Mus musculus: one gene and its partners. The protein of the gene in region 3 purifies or fractionates together with the protein of the main gene of each other region. This does not show direct contact. Links are inferred from orthologs where the notes say so. Each region holds a gene or a part of one and is shown on either strand. Other genes may lie near its edges.

The links.
Region 1: the proteins of Sorbs3 (region 3) and Dlg5 purify together in Homo sapiens (co-immunoprecipitation; 3 studies listed by BioGRID and IntAct, with this or other methods). This does not show direct contact. The link is inferred for Mus musculus from reciprocal best matches to the Homo sapiens genes SORBS3 and DLG5.
Region 2: the proteins of Sorbs3 (region 3) and Wasl purify together in Homo sapiens (co-immunoprecipitation; 3 studies listed by BioGRID and IntAct, with this or other methods). This does not show direct contact. The link is inferred for Mus musculus from reciprocal best matches to the Homo sapiens genes SORBS3 and WASL.

The regions. Positions count from the first base shown.
Region 1 is NC_000080.6:24,151,846-24,155,493, reverse strand, and holds part of Dlg5 (disks large homolog 5), read left to right. Parts: intron 1-240; coding exon 241-353; intron 354-804; coding exon 805-894; intron 895-1,112; coding exon 1,113-1,263; intron 1,264-3,648. UniProt on the Homo sapiens protein: Acts as a regulator of the Hippo signaling pathway.
Region 2 is NC_000072.6:24,662,430-24,666,177, forward strand, and holds the start of Wasl (neural Wiskott-Aldrich syndrome protein), read right to left. Parts: upstream 2,567-3,748; 5' UTR 2,215-2,566; coding exon 2,107-2,214; intron 1-2,106. UniProt on the Homo sapiens protein: Regulates actin polymerization by stimulating the actin-nucleating activity of the Arp2/3 complex. Involved in various processes, such as mitosis and cytokinesis, via its role in the regulation of actin polymerization.
Region 3 is NC_000080.6:70,183,587-70,187,234, reverse strand, and holds part of Sorbs3 (vinexin), read left to right. Parts: intron 1-250; coding exon 251-376; intron 377-2,098; coding exon 2,099-2,407; intron 2,408-3,127; coding exon 3,128-3,228; intron 3,229-3,462; coding exon 3,463-3,569; intron 3,570-3,648. UniProt on the Homo sapiens protein: Vinexin alpha isoform promotes up-regulation of actin stress fiber formation. Vinexin beta isoform plays a role in cell spreading and enhances the activation of JNK/SAPK in response to EGF stimulation by using its third SH3 domain.

The DNA of each region.
Region 1 (3,648 bases), about 46 Mb from region 3:
TCTCCCTGTCCATCCAACCCCCGTACTGCCCCTTGTGTGGTCCCTCTGCCGCTGATGGGTCCTGAATAGATGCTGTCTGTGAGAAGCAACTGGTGTCAGTCTGCTATCCTAGGCAAACAGCAAGGACACTTTACTCTTTTGCCTTAGGGAGGTTCAGGCTGTTTACTGGGTTTCTCCTTGGTGGTCATGTCTGGTCTTAGCCCTTCTACAGGGCCCCTCATCTTTCTGATTCACTCACAGTGTCCAGCATCAGGGACGCCTCAGCCTGGACCTGAGCCACAGGGCCTGCAGTGACTACTCTGAGATGAGAGCCTCCCAGGGTTCCAACTCTCTGCCCTCCAGTGCCCGCCTTGGTAACTACCACTGGTGCTCGGGTTTTAGTACCCAGGGCTCTGGGTGGGCTGCCCACGTGACTCCTTTCCCTCAGCTCCCTCCTCTGGACGGCTGATATCCTGTGAGCTGTCCATCGTATCAATGTTTTCTGAGCTGGGGGAAATGTAACCCAGAGGGGGTGGGGTGGGGTTCTGTTGCCTGGTAGAGACCCTGGGAGAGGTCTTTAGGGATTCAGAGAGAAGATGGAACATCTGCTGCAGCAGCTAGGCGACTGTTGCATTTTGGGGCATGTGCTCCTGTTCTGGAACATTCCGGATCTGCTTCTCTGTAGTCCTCCATTGATTATTTCCCTCAGGGATATTCAACAGCCCCTGTGTGTCACTCATTGTGCCTACTGCTGAGTGGAGGTGAGGATCTAGGGCTGTGGTTTAGTCCCGAGGCTTGACACCGTGTCTCCTCCTGGAACAACAGGCTCTTCCAGTAACCTGCAGTTCAAGGCTGAGCGGATTAAGATCCCGCTAACACCAAGATATCCCCGGTCTGTCATGGGCTCTGACAGAGGTAAGAACTGGGCGTTCCCTCCTGTGCCTGCTGCCCCTGGGTCCCCTTCTAGTCATCTCTGTGGGCTGCTGAAAGATGACTGAGCCTAGCCCTCACCTGTTGCTGTGGGGACAGTAGGCAATGTGGAGACCTTCATCAGGGCCCCGGTCATAGGATGAAACCCACACAGCTTGTGTCTAGATGGCAGTCAGTCACGTGCACCCCTTCTCTCTTGGCAGGCTCACTGTCACATTCTGAATGTAGCACTCCTCCCCGGTCCCCGCTGAATATCGACACCCTGTCCTCCTGTAGCCAGCCTCAGACCACAGCCTCCACTTTACCCAGGATTGCGGTCAACCCCTCTTCCCATGGGGAGCGGAGGAAGGACAGGTGAGTGTAATGGACATCTGTGTCTGGGGTATCCCCGGGCACTCCATTTCTGCTCTGGTGATGGGGTAGTCCAGAGTGTCTGAGGCCTACTGTAGAAACAGTGGGTGCTGGAGACACAGCAGGTCCGATGTAGATGGCAGGAACAGAGCAAGGTGGGCTCTTCCCCCAAAGCAGTGACTAAGCAAGATGCTGGAGATGGTCTGGTGGTGACAGCAATGTGGAAGGGCTTGCTGCTTAGCTGCTTGCCAGGCCCGTTTACAACGCCACTCTAAGAGTCTCAGTTGCATGAGTGGTCCTACAATTAAGTCTGTTTCACAGCAGTGGGCTGGATGCAGACCACCTGCAGGAGCTGTGTGGATGCAAACTGACTGCACTGAACGGGGCTCATTCTTATCTCTTGGTCTTTGGCCCCCACGTATAGTTTGCTGTATCTTTGGTTCTTTTGCCCTGCCCCAAAGTTTATTTTATTTTACTTTTTTTTTTGGAGAAATGAAATGCGCACAGGGAAGTTGATCTCCGTGAGTTCCAAGATAGCCAAGTAAAAGCCTGTCTTACTACATAGTAAGACCCTGTCGCAAAAAAACAAACAAACAAACAAAAAACAAGAAAAAAATTACATAAATAAATAAAGCAGGTCATATTTAATTTGAAAATCTCAACTTGTGAGAAAAGTATTACCCCAAGAGCCCAGGGGAACAGGTGTATCGAACCCCTGGGGCCCTGTCCCAAGGCCTCAGGACCTAGGGCAGTCAGTGTTCAGGGTCCTTTGTGACAGGCACACATGAGAATGTAGAGGGATTTGCTTAGCTCGAGCTCTGGCTTCTCCAAATGATGTGTGTCTTCAGAAGTAGTAAGGGCCTTGTCACGTGTGTGACGCACCCATCATCAGCACCCTGGTTTGGGAGAGAGCCAGGTAGGTGTGAATGATTCCTACCCTGCCAGGGCTCCCAGAAAAGTCAGAGATGAGTGATGGGAAGATGGAAGAAGTAGACAGCTGCTACTCTCCCTTCAGATGCCGTTGCTCACAGTCTTTGTGAGGCCTTTGTCAAAATCTGCCCATGCATAGATAAGACAGCTTAGTTAGGGTTTCATTCTTGTGATGAGACACCATGACCAAGACAACTCTCATAAATATAAAAGCAAGCATTTAATTGGGGCTGGCTTACAGTTTCAGAGGTTTAGACATCATCATCATGGTGGGGTGCTGGAGGAACTGAGAGTTCTATACCTTGATCCAAAGGCAGCCAGGAGGAGACTCTGTTCCACAGTTGGGCAGAACTTGAGCACTAGGAATCCTCAAAGCCGGCCTGCACAGTGACATACACTTATACCAACAAGCCACACCTCCTATTAGTGCTATTTCCCATGGGCCAAACAATATATTTAAACCACCACACTGACATACTTGAATAAAAACAAACCCACTGACATAAACATGCATAATAGGTCACTAGGAGTTTCTCCTACCCAGTTTCTCTGTCTTTTCGTGTCAGGAAACCCTGATTCATAGGGTCATTTGGAAGTTTCTTGGGTGTGTGTGTGTCTGTCTGTCTGTCTGTGTCTGGCTATGTGTGTTTAAGTATCCATGTGTGTGTCTGTCTGTCTGTGTCAGTCTGTCTATATCTGGCTATGTGTGTATGTATCCATGTGTGTGTCTGTGAGTTTGTCTATGTATATGTCTGTGTGTCTGTGTCTATGTCTGTGTGTGTGTTGAGGTATGTGTACATGAGTGCAGGTGTGCCCTTGGAGGTCAGAAGAGGGTATCAGATCCTGTGACATTGGAGTTACAGGTGGTTGTGAGTGGTCCAACATGACTGCTGACCACTGAATCAGGTCCTGAAAGAGCAATACACATTATTAAGAGTGAAGGTAATCTCTCCAGCCCCAGCATCTTAGCTTTATTGTGACATTATTAGATTTGGTCACCCACGGTTTTTGTTTTTGTTTTTGTTTTTGTTTTTTTAAAGACAGGGTTTTTCTATGTAGCCCTGGCTGTCCTGGAACTCACTCTGTACACCAGTCTGTCCTCAGTCTCAGAGATCTGCCTGCCTTTGTCTCCCAAGTGCTGGGACTAAAGACATGCAGCACCACACCTTTACAAGCTAAGCACACTATGCTAATGTGGGCAGAGGCGGCTGTAGTCGTTGGATGAGGATGAACTTTTCATGGAGACTAGCCCTGCTCCCTTCTTGGTGTGAGTCTACTGCTCCATCTTTTTAGGCTGGGCTATGAGGATGGTCTTTAGATGGTTGTCTGTTTCGGGTCCTTGTAACTACCTGGCACCCTAATACATGAGCAATGGCAGAACTGACTGCAGAGCCAGAAGGTCGAGGAAAGACCAGTGGAGGGCGGGTTTGGGAAGGAAAACTACCTGGCAGGGTGTCA
Region 2 (3,748 bases), on a different chromosome or scaffold from region 3:
ATTGCTCTCTATTAAGCCAAAGGCTTCATATTTTACAGTAATTTTCACAAGAAAGCAACAACAATGTGGTTTTAAGTTACTGCAATTCAAAAGGTAAAGTTGATTAATAATATATGATGTAAAGAAATTGAGCACTGACTACTTGTAACCATTTCAGTAACCCACTTATGCTTACAGTGAGCCGTGTTATCTTTGTCTATCGAAATATACTCCCACATCTGTCATTTCCTTGAAACCCTGGGTAAACACTACAGTAAGCTCTGAGCAACGCATATACTAGAACACAAATGAATGTCTGCCATGCCTGAAGTTCACGGGCCTGGTATGTGAACACAGTGAGCTACTTAATGTTTGATAGACTGTACACTAAAGGTACTAGACCAGCAAAGATGACCTCTACCCTGCTTGCAGGCAGCTCATATTAAAATAAAAATAAAATAAAAAGATTTCCCTAAACTGAAAATTATGCAAAAATTAATGCTGCTTTAAGAAATTTACATTTTATTTCTATTAATTTTATGTAAAAAATGAAGTAGTTATTCCTTTAACACCACTTTGAGAGACAAATCAATAAGGGGAACAAAATCCTCACCAAACAACATGATGTAGTGGAAAGTACAAAGTAACTGGGCATATAGTTCCAGTTACATTCCTAAATTACTATGTGACTTGGGGCCAAGAGCTCCATTTTCTCATTTGTTTAAAGAACTATAGAGGACAGACTTGGTTCATCTTTAAAGTAAATTTTCTCCCAAACTCTTTTTCTTCTTTTTTTGAACCACTGTTTTCTACTTTAGTCAGTGAACGCAGTGTTCTTTAAAGTCTAAATTTTAGAACAAGAAATACATCTTAAGTCCGATGGAATGATTTGGTTTCCCAAAGTCGATATGAACAGTCAGATCATGAAGTTAACAATTAATCTGGTAACTTTCCAGAAACTGTCTCCTCTTAACTTCTTCAGCAGGTGTAGTCTGATTCTGACATCTCCAACATTGCCAAGGGAGGATATGAAATGGTTCAGCTCGGCTGAAACTTCTCTGGGTGTTTCCTGGGTTCCAGAGGCACAGGCTCTGTGAGAGCTAGCAAACACGGCAGAAAGGGAGCCGGCTAGCATTCCAACAATCCCCCTTTCAACTCAGTCACCTCAGGAAGATCAAGATAAGGCCTTCACCCAGAGAACCTCCCCACCCCAGAAAGGCCTGCAGCCAACGTAATGAATGCTTCCGTCAATAACACCCATTCCCCTTCCCACAGAACTGCTTGCTCCCAATCCGCCATCTGGGGTTGGAATGGGCCTCCTCACAGCACCAAACTCAGAACCACTTTTGATCCCAAAGGCCGTGAGCTATTAGAAACTGTCGCTTCCCTACGCATGGCTTGGGAGCGAACAGCACCCTACACCCCACCCCACAACGCCAGGGAGGAAAAGAAAAACCCACAGTGGGGCGGAGAGCAGAAACTAGGCCTAGTTTCTGCTGGAGAAATAAACCCCGTTTTTGTTTTTTTGTTTTTGTTTTTTGCAATTGGGAGCAGGCGCATTTCCTGCCCTTGCTCTGATCCTAAGTGTCCATGAACCTGCACTGCACTTTATTCTCTCCCGGAATCCTTAAGGCGGACCGAAAATCCAATTCGCTTCTTTCCCCATCTATTCATTCCTAAAACCTCTAGCATTGTTAAAGAAGATAACCCAGATCCAGAAGTGGGAAGTGAAGCAAGGGCCAATGCTGGGATCCTGTCCTGAGATCTTAAGCTGCTGATGCACGAACAAAATCCCCTTGTGGTCTAGAGTAAAGTTTGAACCTGCAGCAAGGGCACGGACCCGGCCCGGCCCGGCGGACCTGGGCTACTGGGCAGGCCTATGGAGGTGACACTCCCTTGTTCTCCAGCAGCTGGGGGAGGTGGCTCCGGGCCGGGCAGGCCTGCACCCGGAGAGCTGGGTGAGGGGAGCCCCAGGGCCCGGGAGGCTGGAGGCCTGGCCCGCAGCAGCACCCCAGCCGTGCCGAGCCTGCCCCCCTTCTCCCTCCTACCCTTGAGTCCCGTTCCCCCCCAGCCCGAACCCGCCAGTAGACGTTGGGGGGTGGCGACAGGGGGGTCTCGGCTACTGACCACACATTTCTTGCCGAGGAAGGAGAAGAGAGACTCGTTCTCTTGCGGGGTGAGCAGCAGGGAGCCCACGTTGGTGACCCTCCGCGGGGGCTGCTGGCCCGAGCTCATGGTGTCGCCGGTGGGGTGGAGCGTCCAGGGTCGTCACTTCTGGCGGCGGGCGAGCACTCGGGTCCCACTCTGGGTGACAGGGGCGCGAGCCGGCGGTCACAGCCGCAGCATCCCGTCGTCGCTCCTCCGGCGCGCGGAGGCCGAGGGAAGGAGATGACGGCGGGCGCCCTCGGGCCGCGCGCCGACAGGGAAGCTCCGGGCTCCCGCCCTGCTCAGCTCCGGCTGGATGGTCGTTGTCCTAGCACTCCGGCGGCTGCGCTAAACTCCCTACTCCTCCAGTCCTCTGGCGGCGGCGGCGGCAGCGGCGGCGGCGGCAGCCGCACAATCCAACATGGCAGCGGGGGCGGGCGAGACCACGGGACGCGGGACGCGGGGGAGAGCGCCGGAAACTCGGCAAGGCGGGACACCCCCTCGGTTGCTGCGTGCCGGGGCGTGTCCTACCCAGGCCCCGCCCCTTCCGGAAGCGGCAAGGCTCATCCCGGTTGAGGTCTTGTTGCAGGCTAGTCGCCCCCACCAATGACCACCGCGCGCGTGCGCAGACTCAGAGCGAGGCAGGGCTGGCGGGTCTCCTACACTGACTGCCGAGCCGGACGCCCCCTTGCAGCAGCGCCCACCTTTGCGGAGCGTCGGGTCCGCGTAGCCAGTGTTTGTTAGGCATCGAAGCGAGACTCTCAGGCCGCCTGTCAGGGAGATCTAGTTTAGCTGGAGAGAAAGGTCGGCCGGCGTAGTTTCGGTCAGAGCCGCAGGTGCCTCGGGTTTCTGGATCTTAGTCCCGGCCGCCAACGGGGCGTGGAGGGACATTGCTAAGATCAGGATAGACATCTTCAGAGATGTCAAAAACAGAATCGCAAAAGGCGTCCACCACCCGCCTGGCGGATCTCGTGGGATAGGTGTGTGTAGTTTTTTCCTTGCCTTGTGAATTGGAAACTACCCCTCTCAATCTTTCTCTATCTCAAGTTGGAAGCACCTTGTCTCTTTAATTCAGGATGAATGCACGCGTTTGGGAATGTCGTGTAGGAATACACCTTACCTCTTTTTTCCTTACGAGTTAATTTCATGGCTCTGTATTCTAGGTGCAGGGACCTAGGGCCTGGTGCATACTCAGCCAGCTGAGCAATATTCCCAGCAGAAGTAAATAATGAGAATTCATTACTGTGTTTCATAATATTAAAGGTTAGTATAAAATCATTGGTTGAAAACTAAAAAGCTTTAATTTAAAAAAATTGGAATATAGAGATGATAAACCAGATTACAGCGAATTCTATAAAATGTACATCCTACTATTAACATTAATCATACAACGTATCACATAAGTTGTACTAACGATGTTTGCTAATTACCTAGTTCTAATTAAACAGTTGCATATTCAACTTTTATGACAAACTCTGGTAAATTTCTGATAGCTCTCAATACATTGATAAACTATTACCGACGAACTGAAAACAAAGCTGTAAAGCTGCCTATAATGCACATAATGAAATTGGGTGATGAAGAGCAAGCCTACAACAGAGGATGTGCGAATATACTCTTAGGA
Region 3 (3,648 bases):
TGCCTGTCCCACTGCACATCAGTCCACTGGAAAGTCTTCCTCCAGGAAGCCTTCTTGGATGACCCCTCTCACCCGTGCCTGCCAATACTCACACTGCCACCCGCTAGGCTGTATCTGGTCAGTGTGTAGATGTGACATCTGACCAGGGACAGCCTTGTCCACGTTGTCCTCTGCATGGCTCCCTCTTCTGGGAGTGTGGGTGTGTATCCATTGCTACCTGGTCTGAACTTTGCTCACACCATCCCTTCAGGTTCTGCCTGCCGATGAGATTCCCAAGCCCATCAAGCCGCCCACATACCAGGTGCTGGAGTATGGCGATGCAGTAGCCCAGTATACCTTCAAGGGAGACCTGGAGGTAGAACTGTCCTTCCGAAAGGTGAGGCCAGTCAGGGCATGGTAGAGTGGGGCAGGGGAAGGCGAAGGGGAGCCTGCAGAAAGAAATGAATATTTTTTTAAAATGTCAACTGTACCCAGAATTTTAGTTTTTTTCCAGTTTCTCGGGATAGGTTACCCCCAATCTTTTATTCTTTAACCCCAGTACTTGTGACTGAACCAAGGGTCCCTGTCACACAGGGCAAGTGCTCTATTACAGCATTTTATTTTTAATGTTGGGGGGGGGGCTCTTGCTAAGTTACCCAGGCTGGCCTTGAACTCATTCTGTAGCCCAGGCTGGCCTAGAACTCACTGTATAGTCCAGGCTGGCCTTGAACCGTTTTTTAAAAACACGAATGAGTATTTTGCTTGTGTGTATGTATGTACGTACCACATGTATGCAGTGCCTATGGAGGCCAGATGTAAGCCCCAAGCCCCTGAAATAAAAGTTAACAGATGGTTGTGAGCCTCTATATGAGTGCTGGGAATGGACTTCCTGGTCCTTTGCAAGAACACCAGATACTCTTAACTACTGAGCATCTTTCCAGCCGCAAGGCCTTGACCTTGTGATAGTCTTGCCTTAGCCTCTCAAATAGCTGGAGTTATAGGCCTGTTGCATGGCTTGGCCAACATGTTCTACTTTTGAAAGAATGTTATGAACAATGTCTTGCTCTGTCATTCAGGCTGGCCTAGAATTCACTGTGTAGGCCATGACGGCCTGGAATTCGCCGTAGTCCTCCTACCTCAGCTGCTCAAATACTAGGATTACAGTATGGTATGAGCCATCAGGCTTGACCCTACCGTTGTGTCTTTAATCACCTGGTTGATGATCGTAATCTACATTTTAAAAGGACTAGAAATAAGTTTTGTGTGCAAAGGGCTCTGTATCAAACATGAGGCCCTACGTGTGTACATACATGTATGCATGTGTGTATGTGGGTTCTGGGATGTTACTCACAAGCATGTTTGGGGCTATAGATTATGGTAAAGTATGAAAAGTTTCTGTGCGATGAGGAACTGGCCTTCCTTTGATTGAATTGGGGTTGGAGGCCTAGTGAGTAACCCTAGGAAAGACTGGGTCCACAGATATGCAGAAAAGGGGTGGTGGGTGGCTGGGAAGGAGAGGACAGGACAGTGTGGGGTGGGGACATCCTTCTTAGAGTAGCCTGCTGACATGCTGGCACTTCTGTGCCAACCTCTATCAGCTTGTCCTGAGAAGGCCGCCTGCCCTGGGAGAGGGTCACAGGACACGTGTGTCAGGGCAGGACTGAGTTGTGACGCCATGCTACGATCTGTCCATTGCTATGTAAAAGACCACGCTGGATTCTGGGTCTCAACACAGTGTTTGGTCTTCCCATTTAAGGAAACCAAGCTTAGAGGGGCAGAGCAGCTTGCCCAAGGCCACATAGCTTGGACTTGGCACTGGGGAATTGTAATTGGGGTTTGTAATTAGCGATTGTCGGTAGGGATTGATAGTGTTGTGGGCTTTGCCAGGGGGGAAAAAGCTGATCCAAATCCAAATGCTGCCTGCTATGGGGCGAGTTAATCTTCTACTTGTTCCTGACTCCTCTCTTTTTAGCTTAGATAACCTGCTGACCCTTTCTGAGCCTGATCTCTCATACATGTTAAAGTGTTAGGCTTGAATGAAGTGACCTGGGTGAGCCACCCTCAGGTGTGTGATGCTCAGGAAACCCCTACTGACAAGAACTTCTCTCTGACCCCTCAGGGAGAACGCATCTGCCTGATCCGCAAGGTGAACGAACATTGGTATGAGGGGCGCATCACTGGCACTGGACGCCAGGGCATCTTCCCTGCCAGCTACGTGCAGATAAACCGAGAGCCCCGGCTCAGGCTTTGTGATGATGGTCCCCAGCTCCCTGCATCACCTAACCCGACAACCACTGCTCACCTAAGCAGCCACTCCCACCCCTCCTCAATACCTGTGGACCCCACTGACTGGGGAGGTCGAACCTCCCCTCGACGCTCCGCCTTTCCCTTCCCCATCACCCTCCAGGAGCCCAGATCCCAAACCCAGGTGAGGTGGCCTGCTTCTCACACTGCCTTCCTATCCTCTGACTGGTCCACACTGGTAATCCTTCCTGGACAGCTTCCGGAGAAGCGGGAAGCTCGGCAGAACTTAGCCTAGCTCTGTCTTGCTTTGGCCTTAACCTCCTTAAGGCTGTTCTGATCTTTGATCCTCCAGCTCAGGGAGGGAGGCATGGGCAGGCCCAGCTAGGGGACCTGACCCTCCAAGATGTCACTTTTTCAGTGTAGATCTTCAGCAAGGTACAGCACTAGGTATCAGGGCTCTGGTATTTGCATGCTATATGGCCCACAGGCATAGAGCTTGTACTCTTTGGGTTTAGTCTCCCTGTATCAAAAAGCTAACAGTTCCCACAGTGGGAGACTAATGAGGTAGGTTTGAGCAGAAGTGGTTGGCAGCCCTTCACTGTGCTCTTGGCCCTGGGTCCACATGTTCACCCAGCACGCCTCTCTGAGCAGGTACAACTGCTCCTGGCTCCTGCTGAGGCCTGGTTTGTCCTTGCTGGAACTCAGAAGTCCAGCCATTCACATTGCTTGGGACCTGGGCCCACATCCAAGTGCCTCTGAAGTGAGCTAGTCAGATCCACCCTCTTGGGCCTGGGAGCTTGATGAAAAAGCATGAAAACAACTCCTGAGACTGTGGGACCCCTAGCTACTACGTCTACCTCATACCTCCTCCTCATGCCCCTTCTTTCTTCCCGTGAACCCCCAGAGTCTCAATACCCCTGGACCAACCCTGTCCCATCCTCGAGCCACCAGCCGTCCCATAAACCTGGGACCCTCCTCCCCAAACACAGAGATACACTGGACTCCGTGAGTACCAGCTGGGGAGGTTTGCCTTGGGAGGGAGTTGTTGGCAGGCAGTACTAATCCAGGGTCCTACCATTGCCCCTCACCTACAGGTTGGAGAGACTACCAGGTAGAGCTAGTCTCTTGGTGCTTAGGTGATGGGAACGGGGCACTGGAAGTGACAGCTCTTTGCAGAACTTCCAGCAGGTCTGGGAAGGAGCCCGAGGCCTCTGGCTGCCATGCTGCCATTTCCCACAGGTACCGGGCCATGTACCAGTACAGGCCCCAGAATGAGGACGAGCTGGAACTTCGAGAGGGGGACCGTGTGGATGTCATGCAGCAATGTGACGATGGCTGGTTTGTGGGTATGTAGCCTGTGGAGGGAGATGGCTGGCCAGAGAGAGGGGCCTTAGGGTCTCCCGTGGGACTTCAGTGGCAATGCTG